Linked DNA regions of Oryzias latipes. The protein of the gene in region 2 purifies or fractionates together with the protein of the main gene of each other region. This does not show direct contact. Links are inferred from orthologs where the notes say so. Each region holds a gene or a part of one and is shown on either strand. Other genes may lie near its edges. The genes, in order: crkl and map4k5.

Evidence for each region.
Region 1: the proteins of map4k5 (region 2) and crkl purify together in Homo sapiens (affinity purification with western blotting; 3 studies listed by BioGRID and IntAct, with this or other methods). This does not show direct contact. The link is inferred for Oryzias latipes from reciprocal best matches to the Homo sapiens genes MAP4K5 and CRKL.

The regions. Positions count from the first base shown.
Region 1 is NC_019870.2:17,501,239-17,505,829, forward strand, and holds the start of crkl (crk-like protein), read left to right. Parts: upstream 1-1,615; 5' UTR 1,616-2,413; coding exon 2,414-2,724; intron 2,725-4,142; coding exon 4,143-4,591. UniProt on the Homo sapiens protein: May mediate the transduction of intracellular signals.
Region 2 is NC_019880.2:1,340,417-1,344,923, reverse strand, and holds the end of map4k5 (mitogen-activated protein kinase kinase kinase kinase 5), read right to left. Parts: intron 4,443-4,507; coding exon 4,350-4,442; intron 3,590-4,349; coding exon 3,519-3,589; intron 2,906-3,518; coding exon 2,850-2,905; intron 1,496-2,849; coding exon 1,408-1,495; 3' UTR 788-1,407; downstream 1-787. UniProt on the Homo sapiens protein: May play a role in the response to environmental stress. Appears to act upstream of the JUN N-terminal pathway.

The DNA.
Region 1 (4,591 bases), on a different chromosome or scaffold from region 2:
TGACAGATTAGTTGCCTCGTTGCTTATTTTCCCTGAAATCTGGGAACTGGCATGAATCGGTTGGTCAGACCAGCGTTTGTATTCTGGCAGTGGCGCTCTGATGAGAGGTTCACTGTCTTGATCTGTAGCCTCACAAGGCATAGCCGCTGAAACCACAAGCACAGAGCTACCTCTTTGTGTGTTTTACTTTCATCACAGAGCAGAAGTAGCAGCCCTGCTGCAGAGTTTTGCCTGTCAAATGAATCCACTATTGTGTTTTGTCAGGGAGGATTTTTATGTGGCACAGCCTTTTGCATTTTAAAAACTCTTTTTTTTCCCTTCCGTTGTATTTCTTATTGAGTCAAGTAGCAGTTTACTATTAGTGTGTCACCGTCCAATTCCAGACCATATATACATTAAGATCGAGTGAAAGGGGAAGTTAAGAAACATCAGGAAATGAAATAAGAGAAACATGCTTTTTTCTCCTTTAGAGATACTTAACAGAGAAAACGGGCTTTTTCATTTTAGCGAGTCTATATCTCAGTCTATTATAAAGCTACACATCTGCAGAGGTATCAGCCATAAAAAATATCTAAGCACTAAGATATAAGGAGTTTTGAAAGTGTAGCTAAAAATTTTTGCTTTAAAATCTCTGACAAATTCAGCAACTCCCTGAACCTGAAAGGGATTCAGCAGGTTTAGGAAATGCATGGATGGATGAATTCAGGCTAAAACCAACAAAAACAATGGTTCACTTCTATTTAGCATAAAAATAACAGTAACAAACACAAAGCACTGATGTACTTTTCTACTGAAGCTCCTGCCAGGTTTACGTCAGAGAAAAATCAGCCCAAAGGTTGCAGACCCCTGGTATACTGTGACATTTCTCACACAATATTTGAGTAGTTTGGTTTTATTAAGTTATTTTTTCTCTCTTATTTACTTCAGAATAGTAGCCTAGTCTATGATCAGTGGTGGATTTAAAACATTTCATATGGGGGGGCAGTAGACTTTAATTGGGTGGCAAATGTGATAAGCAGAGAGGAAGGCCATTACAAATGAAAGGGTTAACCATGTTTCATAGTTTTATTATTGTTATTAATAACAACACTGCATTTTTTTTTTTTGCTGAGGTGCCATTACTAACAAAGCTTGCATTAATGATTTCTTAATCTTTGTGAAAATAATAATACTGTTTCAAAAATTGGTTGGGGGCAACTGCCCCCTTCTGCCCCCCTGTAGCTCTGGCCCTGCTCATGGTGGTTAAATGGAGGAACTCCTGCTTCACACGATTCCCTTTTGTTTATTAGCCGTGCGATCATTGAAAATTTGGCCGCACATCTTTTGGTTGGTGTTTTGTCAGGTCTAAAATGGAATAGGAAGAAAAAGAAAAGAAAACTTAAACCGGCACATTAAAAAAGAAAACTTTATTGAAAATGAACAGTTTTACAGAATATATAGACAAGGGCATCCGAAACAAATTAATGAACACACTTTTTTTTTACTCACAATAATAAAAGCAAGGGACATGAAATGACAACAGTGACACATCAAAGTGGGCCCGCCAGAAACGTCATCACTCGCCCACCTTTTCCTCCGCCCACGGCCCCACCCCTTCCTCTCCTGCTCCCCTCCGTGACGTGCAGATAGAAAGCGGGACCAGCCCTCCCGTCGCCATTTTTCCCGTGTCCTGCTTGCGCTTTCTGCTGGCTGAAACAAGCGGGACCCGCTGAAATTAGAGAACGGATATCGCACGGAACCGGCACGCCTGGATCTCTCGCGGGCACTCGAGGAATGCACGCGAGAACTGGAGCGCAGCAGACACGCGGCGGCCGTCATATCATTTTTTGGTGTGAAGACGTGTTGCGAGCCGCCATTTTTCCCCCCCTCAAAAGTCTACTCCGACCCGAGAAAGGGGAGTTAAACACCCCAATTCCGTGACGTCCGCCTTTTTGTGACACCAAGAGGATACAGAGTCGGTATTTTCTTTCTCTACGCTGTCACAATTTTTGTTTTTAGTTGCAAACATGGAGATGGAACGCGCCTGAGGCCACCCTTTCCGTTCTCGTAACTGACACTGACTGAACTGAAGCTAAATAATTGTGAGTTTTCGCGGAAGGCGGAACAACGAGAGGAAGCTTTATTGATCATTTGTTGCTTCAGTTTCCGTCGATGTTCGTCCGTTTCGGGGCCGTTAGCTGCTCGTCACATTATGCTCCCGGGCTGGATCAGCAGGTCGGTCGCAGCCTGTCGCTGAAAACGTCAGGTTGATCTTTTGTTTATTTGTTTTAATCGGGTCCTCGGGCGACGAACGCCCTACCCCGCATCTGCCAAGTACTGCAGCTGGATGCGATAGGCCCGTTTGAATCTAACTTATTCAATAGTTCTCATTTTCTTCTTTATATTAACTTATTTTTTAAAGATTTTTTTTAAAATGTCCGCGTCCCGATTTGACTCGTCTGATCGCTCGGCCTGGTATTTCGGACCAGTGTCGCGACAGGAGGCGCAGAACAGGTTACAGGGGCAGAGACACGGCATGTTTCTGGTGCGAGACTCGTCCACCTGTCCCGGGGACTACGTGCTGTCGGTGTCCGAAAACTCCAAAGTATCTCACTATATCATCAACTCTTTGCCCAGTAAGAGGTTCAAGATAGGAGATCAAGAGTTCGAAAACCTCCCAGCCCTTCTGGAGTTCTACAAAATCCATTACCTGGACACAACAACGCTAATAGAACCAGCATCCAGGTACGATCGTGACGTCTTCCAGCATCCCGGTAGACGACCACTTTCTGTTCTGTTATTCCTCAGCAAATATGTCGTTGAATTAGCATGTTATTGGACAGTTCCTGTTGAGTTTGTTTTAACATTAGCTAAGATGTTCATGAATAACTAGCCTGATCTGTACACAACTGTGTGTGACATTAGGGGGTGTAACAGTTCGATTTGTATCATAATTCATAGTTGCCAACCCGATTCATAGTCGATATTGATTCATTTTGAATGATCCGATCATCCACTGACCTGAAATCAATCCACCATGACATATTTCGCCAAAATTTCAACCAGTTCGACTCAGAGATAAATACTTGGATACTCAACAGTGCAGGTGAAATCTTCCAGATTCCCTGTCTTTCTTGGAAGATAATCAGGTGTAAATTAAATATGTGTACAAACAAACAAACAAGTAAACAACAATTAATGGCAAATGTATTTTAGTCTAACAAAGTTCAGCCCACTTTTGTTTTTCCACATAAGAATAATACAAAGGCCATTTTTAGAACATTCTACCACACTGAATGGTGACGTCTTAGCTAAATTCATAGTAGTTCCTTAAATTGAACTGGAACGATGGACTGATCTTTTTTTATTTTATTTATTTATTTATTTTGCCGCTATCACGTTTGTTGTCCTCTCTCAAGGTCGTTTTTACGTTATAGAAAAATAAACAATCCAAATGGTATTTTCCTGTATCGATTTGAAGGTCATTTTGAAATAATTTAATAATGGTATAGATCAATTCTATTAACAACAGATAAATCGATCTGGAAATCATTTAAGGCAATTGATCGTTACACCCCTGTAGGGTATAGTACATTTGCGTGTGTATTCTAGTGTTTTTACACACTCTTACACACCAAGGCATTAGTGCACTTCATGCAGATGATACCTTTCTTAACCCTTTGACACCGTAACTTTAGCTGCTGTGTTGATGGTCTTGAATTACAGTAACTCTTCAACCGTTTAGGCAATTAACATATGTTCTGAACTATAAGTTGCAGCAGCTAAACAATACATCATAAGGAAGGGGGGAAATCATCTATTAGTCACACTGGAGTTTAAGTCGCACTTTTTAACATAGTACGTGACCAAGAACTAACGTTTAATCTCTAAAGGAGATCATACTAATGGAAAAGATAACAATAATGCACTTATTATCTGCACACTTCACTACAAACTGATGCATGTATAGTGCAAGCATCAGTGCATTTTTAGCCAGTTTTCTCAACTGTAGAATCTGTTGGAATTTTGTTACTTGGGTAAATGGTCCAAGAGTTACAGTAGTTTGAAGAGCATGTGTTGTTTCATGTCTATTAAAGGGTTAACAAGGAACCATTGATACACTCTTCTACGCAAAACATTTCAGTTGGGTCATATCTTTTCAGGTACCCAAGCACTATTGGTGGTCCGGTCCAGTCTATGATTGGTCCAGAGGATAACTTTGAGTACGTGCGGACACTATATGACTTCACTGGTAGTGACGCGGAGGACCTTCCATTCAAGAAAGGGGAGATCCTTATCATTTTGGAAAAGCCAGAGGAACAATGGTGGAGTGCCAAAAATAAAGATGGACGCGTCGGGATGATCCCCGTGCCCTACGTGGAGAAATTGGTACGACCCTCCCCCCATCCTGGCCAGCCTTCCCACGGCTCGCGCAACTCCAACAGCTACGGTATCCCGGAGCCATCCCACTCCCTTGTTAACGCCTATGCCCAGCCCCAGACCTCTCCCCCCATGCCCCCCGGCACACCCGGAGCAGTCATTGCCCCGTTGCCCTCCATGCAGAATGGTCCTGTGTTGGCAAAGGCCATTCAGAAGCGTGTGCCCTGTGCCT
Region 2 (4,507 bases):
CAGGTCAAAGAAGAACAAGAGCCTAAAAATAATCATTTTGATTTTTGTCTTTTTTTTACTGAAAGAAATAGATTATTAAAAAGAAACAAACATTTATTCGCTGATAAAATGTTTTTTTTAATATTCTCAAAATCAGCTCATCCAGTTTCTTCATTGACTTCATTACCACACATGAACCTGTTTGCATAAAAACTGGATGCATTGTGGTTTTAAAAACGTTTTCTATATATAAAAGTCTAAAGTCTGAGACTCTTCTGGAGGTTTCTAATCATGTCTGTTTCTCTGTCTTATATGGAGCCGTATAAATAGAAAAATGTGTTTTTTTACACTAACCTGCTGTGTGATAAACTAAATGATATTTTTTTGGCACCAAACTCTTTAGCTTTAAAAAATATTTTATGATTTTTTTAACTTATAGAAGTGAACCTATGCAGACAGCTGAACTCACATTATGAAGCTTTTCCCATCAAATGCCAGTTTGAATGTTTCTGAATGTACATTTTATAAAGAAACTTCTGATTTTTATGCAAAAACGTTTCTTTAGTTCATCAAAACAGCGTCAGCTCTGAAAAAAACCCCAACTATCCTCCCTGCTGCTCTTATTTTGAAGGGGACTTCAGTAGGTTCACACATTTCTGCTTCCTTTAAAATCCTTAGAAACCGCCCCGCCCCCCTTAGGTGATGTTTACCTTAGCTCTGATGTCATTACAGCCTCTTTGAAAACAACTTTAGGGAAGCTGTTTCCCCTCTGAGGACCCCCCCCCACACACACACCATAACAATGAGACAGGGTTTTTCAAGTTAAAAGCTTTTAATTACAAAACATTTGCAGGGATGTTAATAAAAACCGAGCATCGTCCCTCATTTTATCATTTCATTTTAAATTAAAAAAATGTACAAAAGTGCTTAAATGGTGCAAAGAATTAAATGTTCTATAAAGGTAGGGGGCGGGGCATGTACAATAGATCCACGTTCGTAAAAAAGCAGCAGACAGGAGAAGCAAAATTACACGGCAGAAACATCCAGGACTCCCTCCGACCAAAGATGAGTTAATAAATATTGTTTAAATTACCCACAATGCTCTTGGGCAGCTCCGTGAGCTCATTAGTCGGGTTTTAAAATCTCCCCTGGAGTCTACGGACACGCTACGTGTTACAGGTGTTCTCCCGCCGTTCCGAACTCAATCCCAGACGGATTAATGGCACTTTTAAGGAAAACGTCTGCAGAGGTCGGTCACCTGCGCGGCGGAGAAGATGCCGAACCCTCCAGCGAGATGTGGTTCCCGCCGGCGCTCCTCTCCCATCCTGAAACAAAAGCTCCCAGTAACGCGTCAATAGCTTCGTACTCCACATGTGGGCTGGTCTCCCAAAGCTGGAGCTCCGGCGGTCCTCCACCGTGCGGAGCGGATCAGTAACTGTTCTCGTGTCCAGCTAAGATGTAGAGGTTGCTGTGGGCGGTGGGGTTGTCGGTCGGCCGGCTCTCCAAAACAACCACCCTGTGAACAAACAGGAGAGGGAGTCAGCGGTGAGGCTGTGACGGCACCAGAGGACCAAGAACCTCCGTCTGCAACGATTCTGCAGGTTACTATGACAACATGAAAGCTTCTCCATCACACAGATCAACCATCTCAGATGATTCGCTGAGAACGACGTTCAACTCCCCGTGGCTCTGTAACCAACTGTCCTGCAGACGCGCTAGACAGCTGCAGAGAAAATCAAGAGGAACGGTGGTGGAGGAGTCATGGTTCGGGCTTCCTGTGCAACTCAGTGGATTAACTGGACGACAACGGTCCGTCACAGGAAGGAAGTGGTGCTGCTGTGATGGACACGCGTGCCGTCAGGAGTAAAAATGAGGGCGTGGCTCTTTGACATGTGACCGTCCCATCCTGCCCTTAAACCGTCTTTTTAGCTTATTTGTACATTTACAACAAAGGATTCAAACGGCTGAAAACCAAACAGCCGGGTCATGTGACGTCCGGTCCATCTCACTGGTGGTTATGCGGGGGATGACTGAACGAGCGGGAAGAAAATCTGAGAGCGGGAAGGGGAGGGAAGTGTCCTAGCAGCGGGCGCCGGCGGTGGAGCGAGTCACCTTCACTTTCAGATGGAATCCGTCCCCGGGATGACGGGACGGCAGCAGAACCGCATCCTATCCGGTCCGTTCCATCAGATGAAATTTCAGAGTCGGGCAGAGAAACTCACACCCGGCTGGCGGCACCGGTGAATAAAACATGGCGGGCTCGGCGGCACGGAGACGGATCATTCTGGTGCCGGAGGCGGCACCAGAATGATGGGTCTTCACTGCAGCCGCCGTGAGCTGCTGGTCCAGCGTCCGGCCAACGCTGGATCCGTTCAATGGACTCAAACGTGAAAGAACTTCTGGAGCTTCTCCAGAAAACCATCCTGAAGTTTAGCGAAGGAGCTGAAGATGTGAAAAGACGAAACTGAAAGTTTGTTTTGTTCTTGAACGCGTCATCATGTTGAAAAAGCTAACGGGTCAAAAGGCAGACCGGAGAAACTACGTGATCCCCTTCATCCTCTCTGTGAAACTCGGTCCAAAACCCGGTTCTAGGGGGGGATTATTTTCTGTAGGAGAACTCTATGATCCCTGTGAGGATGTTCTGCTCATCACCTCTTCTGAGGCGTGATGGAAGCGGTTTTTACCTGATCCGCCATGACTGGATGCTGAGGGGGCGTGTCCTGTCAGAGTAACCATGCCAACAGGGATGTTTACTCAGACAAACAGAACCCGGTTCTGCTCGTCTGAACTTCTGCATGCAGTTTTTTTTGTTAATTCATTTTCCACTCTGGATCTTTCTCAGGGAAAACGCGGCAAACGTCGGCACCAACCTGTCGGATCCCAGGAGGCGGAAGACTCTGCTCGGGTCACAGATCTCCTGGGTCACCTGGAAAACAAACATCAGGGCGTTTAACCCACAATCCCAGAGCGGCGCCGTGGAGGACACCGGCGTGTTGAATTCTGAGCCGGTCTTTGGTTTCGGCGCTGGAGGAGCGGCTCGGGTTTTTTCAGGGCTGGGGGAGGATTTTGTTGCCGTGGAGAAGCCTGTAGCCGTGTAAAACATGAGGTCATGTCATGAACACTTGCTGACAGCTGGAGGGGGGGGTGACACCTGCGAGGTGTGAGCCCCCCGGGGAGATCTGATCACGCCTAAAGACAACAAGGTCTCAGGTGGAGCCTGACCCCCCCGGAGTCCTCGCTCTACGAGGAGAGCCGTGAACGAGGCGGGGGGGCTGAATTATTGATGGGGGGGGCTCTGCGACTGTGACGGGCTCATTTATGACAGAGCATGAATTTTACATGAGGGCTTCAAAATCCTCATCTGAGCTTTCGGGGCGGGGCGGGGGCTCTACCCAGATCAGGTCTCAGTCTTTTGGATCAGAAACAAACTGACAGTTTCTGCAGCTTCTCTGCAAATTACCTGAATGTAAAATCCTGAAAAACCAGAGAAGCGGTGAAGAACCGCCGTGCAGAAGAAGAAGGTCTCAAAGCCGTCTTACCTCGTTGGACCGGAAGCTCTTGCCCTGCATGCCGTGTTTCCAGAAGACCAAGACGCTGTCCTGCAGGCACACTGCAGAGGAAAGGGAGCCATGAAACGCTGGCGGAAACACTCAAAACCCACCATACTGTGTCCCACCGCCAACATCTGAAAGCCAGGAAAAGCTGAAACGTTGGCTTCAGGATCTCTGGCTTTCAGGAGCGACTGAAGGAAACCAGAAGGAAGATCAGAACCTGACAGCAGCCCGTCATGTGACCGGCTCTGACCATCAGAAAACGGCGTTTATGTAAAAATCCGAACCCCAGACAGAAGAAGACAACATGACGGTGGAGCAGTGAGGAGATGCAGGAGCTTCTTCATGGATGAGAGTCAGGAGACGACTTCTTTCCGCCAACAGCGCCCCCACATGAGCAGCTGATGGAACAGCAAGTCTTCCACATGTTCGGTTTGCTTCAGTCTTTGGTTCTTCTGGGAACGCCGTTGAAACCAAACGGCTGCTGACTCCATGAAAATGTCCCAGAGAAGAAGAGACTGGAGAGACCAGTTCTGCACATGTGGATCCAGATGTGGAGGTCACGACCTTCAACAAAGGCTTCCACATGGAGGTCAAACCTGCTCCTTCAGCAGCAGAAGATGAAGGTGAAGTCTTTTGTAAACAGAGGAACGTTTGCATTTTTCCAGCATGGAAAGAGGCTTTGGTTTTTATGCATGGATTCCAGACCAAGAACCGGTTTGTTCCAGTCCAGATCAGGCGTGCTCAGAGCTGCACGCATTCGAGCAAACACGGGTTTCTTTAAGGAGGATCCGACTGTGATGGACGGCGTGGACTCACCGACGGACTCGATGCTGAAGTTGAAGCTGAGTTCAGAGGCCAGCTTCTTGTTGGACTTCAGTCTCCCCTGAAGATTGACGATCTTCAAGTTTTCTGAAGAACGAAGGAGTGAAGGTGGTGAAGCCAAAACCCAACACTTTACTTTTAGAGCACTTTCT